Sus scrofa: one gene and its partner. Each later gene encodes a partner of the first gene's protein in a complex. Links are inferred from orthologs where the notes say so. Each region holds a gene or a part of one and is shown on either strand. Other genes may lie near its edges.

Region 1 (3,006 bases):
CATTCTTCTAGGGAGAGGAGCCGGGAGTTCCCTTGCGCGGCCAGGAGGGGGCAGCAGTGACCTCAAGGCCGCGCGGGCAGAGGAAGGACGCTCTGGCCGCAGAGGTTGTGGCGGCCCCGGAAGTGCTCGGCCGCCGGCGCGACCCCGGCGCCCCGGATGGGGAAGGAGGCGGGCGGCCGCCCTCGCCCGGCCGCGCACCCCTAGGAACTCGCGGGCAGGTGGGTTCCGAGTGGGAGTCAGTATTTCCGGGCCTCCTCCGCCATCCCCCGCAGGGCCGAGGCTGGGTGAGGGGTGGCGGCGGGCGGGGTACACCCTCGGGGACACCCTCCCCTTCCCCACCCCCTCCCCAGCCCTGTCCCCGACCCAGCGGGCGGGCGTTGCCCTTTTCAGCGCCTGGGACCCTCCAGCCCCCTGCGGCGGCCGTGAGATGCCGGGGCTGGGGTCCCTGCTGCGGTGAGGGAGCCTCCCAGGGCGTCTGGTTTGTGAAGCAAAACCTATCATGGTCTCCATGGAAGACGTAAGGTCGGGCCATAAGAATTTTCTTCGCAGACCTGCTGGATGATCTTGGTATTTCTGACTCTTAGTTTTGCAGTAGTGGAAAGGAGATCATTATCTCCGATCCTTCCTAGAGTTTCGCGTTAAATAAGTAGAATGATAACTCTTTTTAAGGCTGCTAAACTCGGTCAAGGGATTAAGAATCTCCAGTCCTTGGCTTTAGTTAAATAAACCTTAGAGCTTGTACCTTTATTATTATGAGGTTTTTGTTTTTAGACCGGTAACTTTTTTCAGTAATAGATGCCTCTGAGAACCCAGTAAAAGCTTTGGATCCTAGCCTTAGAAATCTGCATAAATTACAACTACAAATATGCATTGACTGGGAGGGTTGTTGAAGGGTCTGAAGCCCATCCATAGACCTCAGGGATATGTGAACCCCTGAGTTAAGAACTAGTTTAGAGGGAGACATGTGAAGCCTTTGGGAAAGAAGTTTCCTTTGAATCTGGCTCCACTAATTACCACTGTTAACTTGGGCTAAAGTTACCTAAGCACTTTGAATTGCTGCTTTATTAGTTGGGTTAATCTCCAGGATTGTGGAGATTAAATGAAAGAAGCTACGTAAGGCTCTTAGTACATAGTATGCACTCTTGACAAATGGTAGCTGCTAAGGGATTATAATGTAAAATCTGAAATGAAATTTTAATGTCCTCAGTTACATGATGGCCACCATATATATTTTGTTCAGACTTCTAATAAGCTTATGATAACCCAATAAGTTGGTTTGATTTTAACTCAGTCCTACCCTTGACCTTTCACAACATTCATAGATTCACAGTCTCTCTTTTTCTAGGAACTTGGCTATATTGTCCTGCCTCAGAGAACAAACTCATCTACTAAAGGTCTAGCCTGGGTTCTGCCTTTGAAAGCAAGGGAAGGTTGGTACCATATCAACCACATTCAACATGAAATTTCCAGAGAGGTCTTATTTCAAAACTTTATAAAGAACAAGAACCACATGGACTTCTACAACGGAGATTGAACTAGCCTGAGTTTGAGCAAAAGGATAATGTGTTCACAGCCTGTAACTAACACCAAAGAGGCCAAGTGGCAGAAGGTCTTGTATGAGCGACAGCCCTTTCCTGATAACTATGTGGACCGAAGGTTCCTGGAAGAGCTCCGGAAAAACATCTATGCCCGGAAATACCAGTATTGGGCTGTAGTATTTGAGTCCAGTGTGGTGATCCAGCAGCTATGCAGTGTCTGTGTTTTTGTGGTTATCTGGTGGTATATGGATGAGGGTCTTCTGGCACCCCACTGGCTTTTCGGGACTGGCCTGGCCTCTTCATTGATTGGCTATGTTTTGTTTGATCTCATTGATGGAGGTGAAGGACGGAAGAAGAGTGGGCGGACCCGGTGGGCTGACTTGAAGAGTGCCCTAGTTTTCATTACTTTCACATACGGCTTTTCACCGGTGCTGAAGACCCTGACAGAGTCTGTCAGCACTGACACCATCTATGCCATGTCAGTCTTCATGCTATTGGGCCACCTCATCTTCTTTGACTATGGTGCCAATGCTGCCATTGTATCCAGCACACTGTCCTTGAACATGGCCATCTTTGCTTCTGTCTGCCTTGCCTCACGCCTGCCCCGGTCCCTACATGCCTTCATCATGGTGACATTTGCCATCCAGATTTTTGCCCTGTGGCCCATGTTACAGAAAAAACTGAAGGCATGTACTCCCTGCAGTTATGTGGGAGTCACACTGCTTTTTGCATTTTCAGCCTTGGGAGGCCTCCTGTCCATTAGTGTTGTGGGAGCCATACTCTTTGCCCTTCTGCTGGTTTCCATCTCATGTCTCTGTCCTTTCTACCTCATTCGCTTGCAGCTGTTTAAAGAGAACATTCATGGGCCTTGGGATGAGGCTGAAATCAAAGAAGACTTGTCCAGGTTCCTCAGCTGAGTTTGGTGACTTCCATTCTGTTACTAAGACAAACTGATAGACTAGCCCTCCAACTAGTATAAGATTCGAAGGCAGAATTCCATTCTGGAAGCAGCATGCTGATGTGGGTGGGAGATCAGAAATCAAAAGAAAAAGTTAACCAAAGGCTTGGGTGGTGAAGGTGCTTATCCTTTCTGTTATTTTGTGGCGGGAAAAGCTTTGTGGGGCCCTCTTCAATTATTGCCTCTCATTCAATGTAACAAATGAAGTGATGTGGTTTCTATCTATTAAAAAAATTAACAACACATCCATCAAGTTGTCTCACAATTTTTCTGTAAGCAGAAGACAGACAAAAGGGACACAAAGAATATGTGTGTGGATTTCCTGTCGTGGCTCAGTGGAAACGAATCTGACTAATATCCATGAGGACGCAGATTCGACCCCTGGCCTTGCTCAGTGGGTTAAGAATCTGGCGTTGCCATGAGCTGTGGTATAGGTCACAGATGAGGCTCGGATCTGGCATTGCTGTGGCTGTGGTGTAGGCCAGCGGCTACAGCTCCAATTGGATTCCT
Region 2 (4,534 bases), on another chromosome or scaffold:
TTTGGACATACAATCTTGTATGTGTATCTATATATCCCTCAACTCCTATCCCCACCTCCCAGGAGCTCAAAGTGTGAAGTGGTAAAGCCCCAACGATGCAAGAAAAGATTCAATATTTAGCGAGACAACGAGAAAATTTGGACGTTCCCCTCGTGGCTCAGCAGGTTACGAACTCAACTAGTATCTATAAGGATGCGGGTTTGATCCCTGACCTCGCTCAATGGGTTAAGATCTGGCTTTCCTGTGGCTCTGGTGTACGCTGGCAGCTGCAGCTCGTATTTGAGCTCTATCTAGCTTGGGAACTTTCATGTGCTGCAGGTGCGGCCCTAAAAGGACAAAAAAAGGGGGTGGATTTTGATGACTAACCAAGAATCTTCTAGTATACTGGGCTGCAAAGAATAGAGAAAATAAAAATGACAACATATGCCATTAACTGAGCATTCATTTGCCACAGGCATTTTTCTAAATACTCTTTGCATTCATTAGCACATTTTAAGCCCCAGGATGGAATTATATGAGGTAGGAACAATAATTAATCTAATTACACAGATAAGAAAGCTGGGGAGGGAGTTCCCGTCGTGGTGCAGTGGTTAACGAATCCGACTAGGAACCATGAGGTTGCGGGTTTGGTCCCTGCCCTTGCTCAGTGGGTCAAGGTTCCGGCGTTGCCGTGAGCTGTGGTGTAGGTTGCAGACGCGGCTCGGATCCCGCGTGGCTGTGGCTCTGGCGTAGGCCGGCGGCTACAGCTCCGATTCGACCTCTAGCCCGGGAACCTCCATATGCCGCGGGAGCGGCCCAAGAAATGGCAAAAAGACAAAAAAAAAAAAAAAAAAAAAAAAAAGAAAAAGAAAAGAAAGCTGGGGAGTTAGGAGATTTGCGGGAGCCCTACAACTAGTAAACGATGCACCTGGGACCAAGGTGTCAGGCCCGGACCCCCGGCACTTACCTCCTACACTATAAGAAAGAGATCAAATCCGCATCATTTTCTGGGAGAGTCAGAAGCAAATGCGGGGCGAGAAAAAAACCACTGTGTGGATCACCCACTTAATTAAAGGACACAGTTACTTAGACTCCTTGCGGTTTCCAAGCTCATTTACAGAAGCAAATGAGTGGTGCTATTATTATGCCATTGAGCCCAGGGTAAGAAACTGGGCATCTTAAGTTTAAGAGGACTAAGCCATTCTTTTCCCGTTCTTATATTTTTTTTAATGAAAGGAGAAAAAAAAAAAGCCAAACAAGGTTATAGGAAGTGTGGTACTGCAAAGACTGACAGATACACATAAAACAAGTAATGCTTTTTAACATACCCAGTGTGACAGTGTGTTGGAAACCTCCTTTTGGTGATAACCACGGAGGTCCAAGTCTATCACTGTGTGACTCTGAGGTCCGGCCACTGGCTTCCTGGAGGCCCTGCGACAGGCCCTGGTGAAAACTCAGGACGCCTCCACTTGAGCGTGGGTTTTGTCTGCAACCTGCAAACGGGCAGGAAGAGCCGCAGAAAGCCCAGGCTGCAGGCGGGGCTCTCCATACCGAGCGGTGCCGCGGGAAAAGCAGTCGGGTCCCGAGCGCCCTCGGAACCAAAGAGCGGGCCTCCAGCCGTCGGGGGCAGCGTTTCCCGAGCACCGGGGGGCGGGGCCTGGCCGCCTGGGCGGGACTCCCCGGGATCGGCTGGAGCGGCCGGAGCGGCCCAGGGGGTGCGGAGGTCCGCGCGCCGGCGGCCAGACCATGCTGAGCGGAGCGCGCGGTCGGCTCGCCTTAGCGCTGCGAGGGACACGCGCGCCGCCGTCCGCGGTCGCCAGGAGGTGCCTGCACGCTTCGGGCTCGCGGCCGTCCGCGGACGAGAACAAGAAGGAGGGGAAACCGCCACGCGCCTTCGACCCGGCGCTGCTGGAGTTCTTGGTGTGCCCGCTGTCCAAGAAGCCGCTCAGGTAAGATTCGTCCGCTGCGGCTTTTCCCTGGTGGCCCCCTGTCGCCGGGGAGACGTTCAGGTCACCCGGGTGTTCTTCGCTGCCATGTTTTGGACCCGGGCCCGCCAGCTTCCCGGGTACTCGCTCCGCCGCGGGAAGGGCGGGAGGAGGCCCCAGCCGAGCCCCAGGCCTCCCGGACCAAACCGGCCACTCGCAGGCCTGGATCCTGGCGGGCAGCTTCTCCGCCGGCAGCGTTTTAGAATCTCGGGGGAATCCTTCTTAAAACGCAGATCTCTAGGCAACGCCCCACCCGGGCTCAATCCGAAGGCCTTGGGGCCGAGCCAGAGCAACTGCGTATTTTCTTGAAAGGATCCCAAGTGATCTTCCTGTACAGCCAGGGTTATGAACTCGGGATTCGGAAGACTAATCCATGGCATTCAGATTTTTAAGGCAAGGCGATGAAAAATGTGATAGCTTCCAGATTGTTGCGAAAACGCCGGGTAGGATCTTAAGCGCATCAGCTACGTGTGCGGCCCTTTGGTTTTTAGTTCTCGACCAGCCGGTTCTGTAAAGGCCTTCTTAACCTTTCACCTAGACTCTTTAGGATAAACATCTCTGCAGTTGCAGGCTGCTAAACCTGAACGTGGACAATACTAGCAAACACCGCAGTGTCATCAGTGGCTGCCTTTGGGTGGTAGATTGCTGCTTCCGTGGTTTCCTTCTCATGGATCAGTGAGGCAGGTGTTCTGATAAGCGAAGAAGCTGAATTTTCCTCTCGTGTCTGTTCCAGTAGTAAATTAGCTGGGATCGTTTGAGGGTTTAAAAGAGTCATGAAGGAATATTTGGATGAAAAGGAGAGATCTTTTCTTTTTTTTTTTCCACTAAGGCATAGCTTAAGAATAACGTGAAAAAGAAAATGAGAGAAACAGACTAAAATGGGAACAATTAGAGATTCCTTTTCTAAGAGAAATGGTTGAATTGGCTACTGCTGCTTTTAGAATGAAAAACAGTCTAATTCTGCTTTTCTGGCTCTAACTGTGTGAAGAATTGGATAAATGTTACTGTTTATTGAACCTCAGACTCTTCCGGGATTCATTTTGGTTTTCTTCTGCCCCTCAGATATGAACCATCGACAAATGAATTGATTAATGAAGAGCTGGGAATAGCCTATCCGATTATTGACGGGATTCCTAATATGATACCACAGGCAGCTAGGATGACACATCAAAATAAGAAGCAAGAAGAAATGAAGCAGCACTAGGTCATACGTAAACACAACACAAGGAAATTTTCTAAACACCATCCACCTTCGAAGAAGCCAGCGTGGCGGGTGGTGGGTGGGAGAGAAGAATGTTTCTGTCTCTTCCCACGCTGACTGTCCTTGTCCCCCTGGTCTCTCTGGGAGGACTGCTGTACTCCGCCTCCGTGGAAGAGAGCTTCCCCCAGGGCTGCACCAGCACAGCCAGCCTGTGCTTCTACAGTCTGCTCCTGCCCATCACCATCCCCGTTTACGTGTTCTTCCACCTCTGGACTTGGATGGGTATTAAACTCTTCCGGCATAATTAACGCAGCCGGAGCCACGATGGTATTTAAACTCATGATATGCTTGAGTGAGTGTGTCCGAAAGCTCCGCCACATGGAAATACTGGAAACCCAGACTTTGCAGGAAAGAGGCTTTGCTTATTAGCCTTTGTCAGAGGTTTAGGACTATGTGACGTTTAAGCTGCAAGAGGCTTCTTTCTTGTATTTTGGTTCTTCCCCTGCTTTTTGAAGGTTCTGATTTATACCTGGTCTCTCGGAAGAAACATTTCAACAAAGTGGCTTGTTGGAAATTAGCACCCCCACAGCCATCATCTGATGGCTTGTTCTTATCCCATTCATAATTAAAAATTACTAATTCGAAATTGTAGGTTTGTTTTTAGGTTCAAAGCCTTTGGTAAAGCCACATGTGAAGGATGACTGAGATAATTCCAAGGAGCTATGGGGAGTAATTGTAGAGAAATGCATTTGGACTAGTGTGATATAAAACTATAATAAAATGTAAATTTCATGTACTTGCCAAAATTCTGAGTTGGTAAAATTGCCTTCATTTCTTTGGCATCAGATGGCTTACATTATTAATAAGATATTGACATTTTCCATAAAACAATTTGCAGTTTTGTGTTTGGTTTTTTTTTTTTTTTCCTTTTGGTCACAAGAATATAATTCAAAGACAAGGAAATTATATGTTTAGAGAGGCACCCAAAATAGAACAGAATTTCCCAGGAAAGTATGTGCTGTGAGGAGAGGTGGAATTGAAAGACTGGCAAATAGCTGATTGTGTCCTGTTGAGTTTAGTTAGGGCGATTATTGAGCCACATTTCAGTTTATTTTTCTGCCATAAGAGACCTATTTATTTAGCAATACTAAGGGCATGAGCATTTGACACATTAATAGTTATTGATTTTCCAGAATTTTCAATAAGACTGATTAGTACAATAACTGTTTCAGAAGTATAACAAATGTTTCAGTATTTACCCTCATGAAGCCTAAGAACTCAATGTAACCTTAACTGATTCTTAATAGAATTTTAAAGTAGTGTAAAAGAAGCTTTAGACAGTGATTCTTCCCCTTAAAAAGAAAATTTA

Evidence for each region.
Region 2: PIGC (region 1) and PIGY share a complex: the UniProt entries of both Homo sapiens proteins name them as parts of the glycosylphosphatidylinositol-N-acetylglucosaminyltransferase (GPI-GnT) complex. The link is inferred for Sus scrofa from reciprocal best matches to the Homo sapiens genes PIGC and PIGY.

Annotation. Positions count from the first base shown.
Region 1 is NC_010451.4:114,824,534-114,827,539, reverse strand, and holds PIGC (phosphatidylinositol N-acetylglucosaminyltransferase subunit C), read left to right. Parts: upstream 1-1,561; coding exon 1,562-2,455; downstream 2,456-3,006. UniProt on the Homo sapiens protein: Part of the glycosylphosphatidylinositol-N-acetylglucosaminyltransferase (GPI-GnT) complex that catalyzes the transfer of N-acetylglucosamine from UDP-N-acetylglucosamine to phosphatidylinositol and participates in the first step of GPI biosynthesis.
Region 2 is NC_010450.4:130,525,918-130,530,451, forward strand, and holds PIGY (phosphatidylinositol N-acetylglucosaminyltransferase subunit Y), read left to right. Parts: upstream 1-1,653; 5' UTR 1,654-1,725; coding exon of another isoform or gene 1,726-1,928; intron 1,929-3,026; coding exon of another isoform or gene 3,027-3,168; 5' UTR 3,169-3,257; coding exon 3,258-3,473; 3' UTR 3,474-4,066; downstream 4,067-4,534. UniProt on the Homo sapiens protein: Part of the glycosylphosphatidylinositol-N-acetylglucosaminyltransferase (GPI-GnT) complex that catalyzes the transfer of N-acetylglucosamine from UDP-N-acetylglucosamine to phosphatidylinositol and participates in the first step of GPI biosynthesis.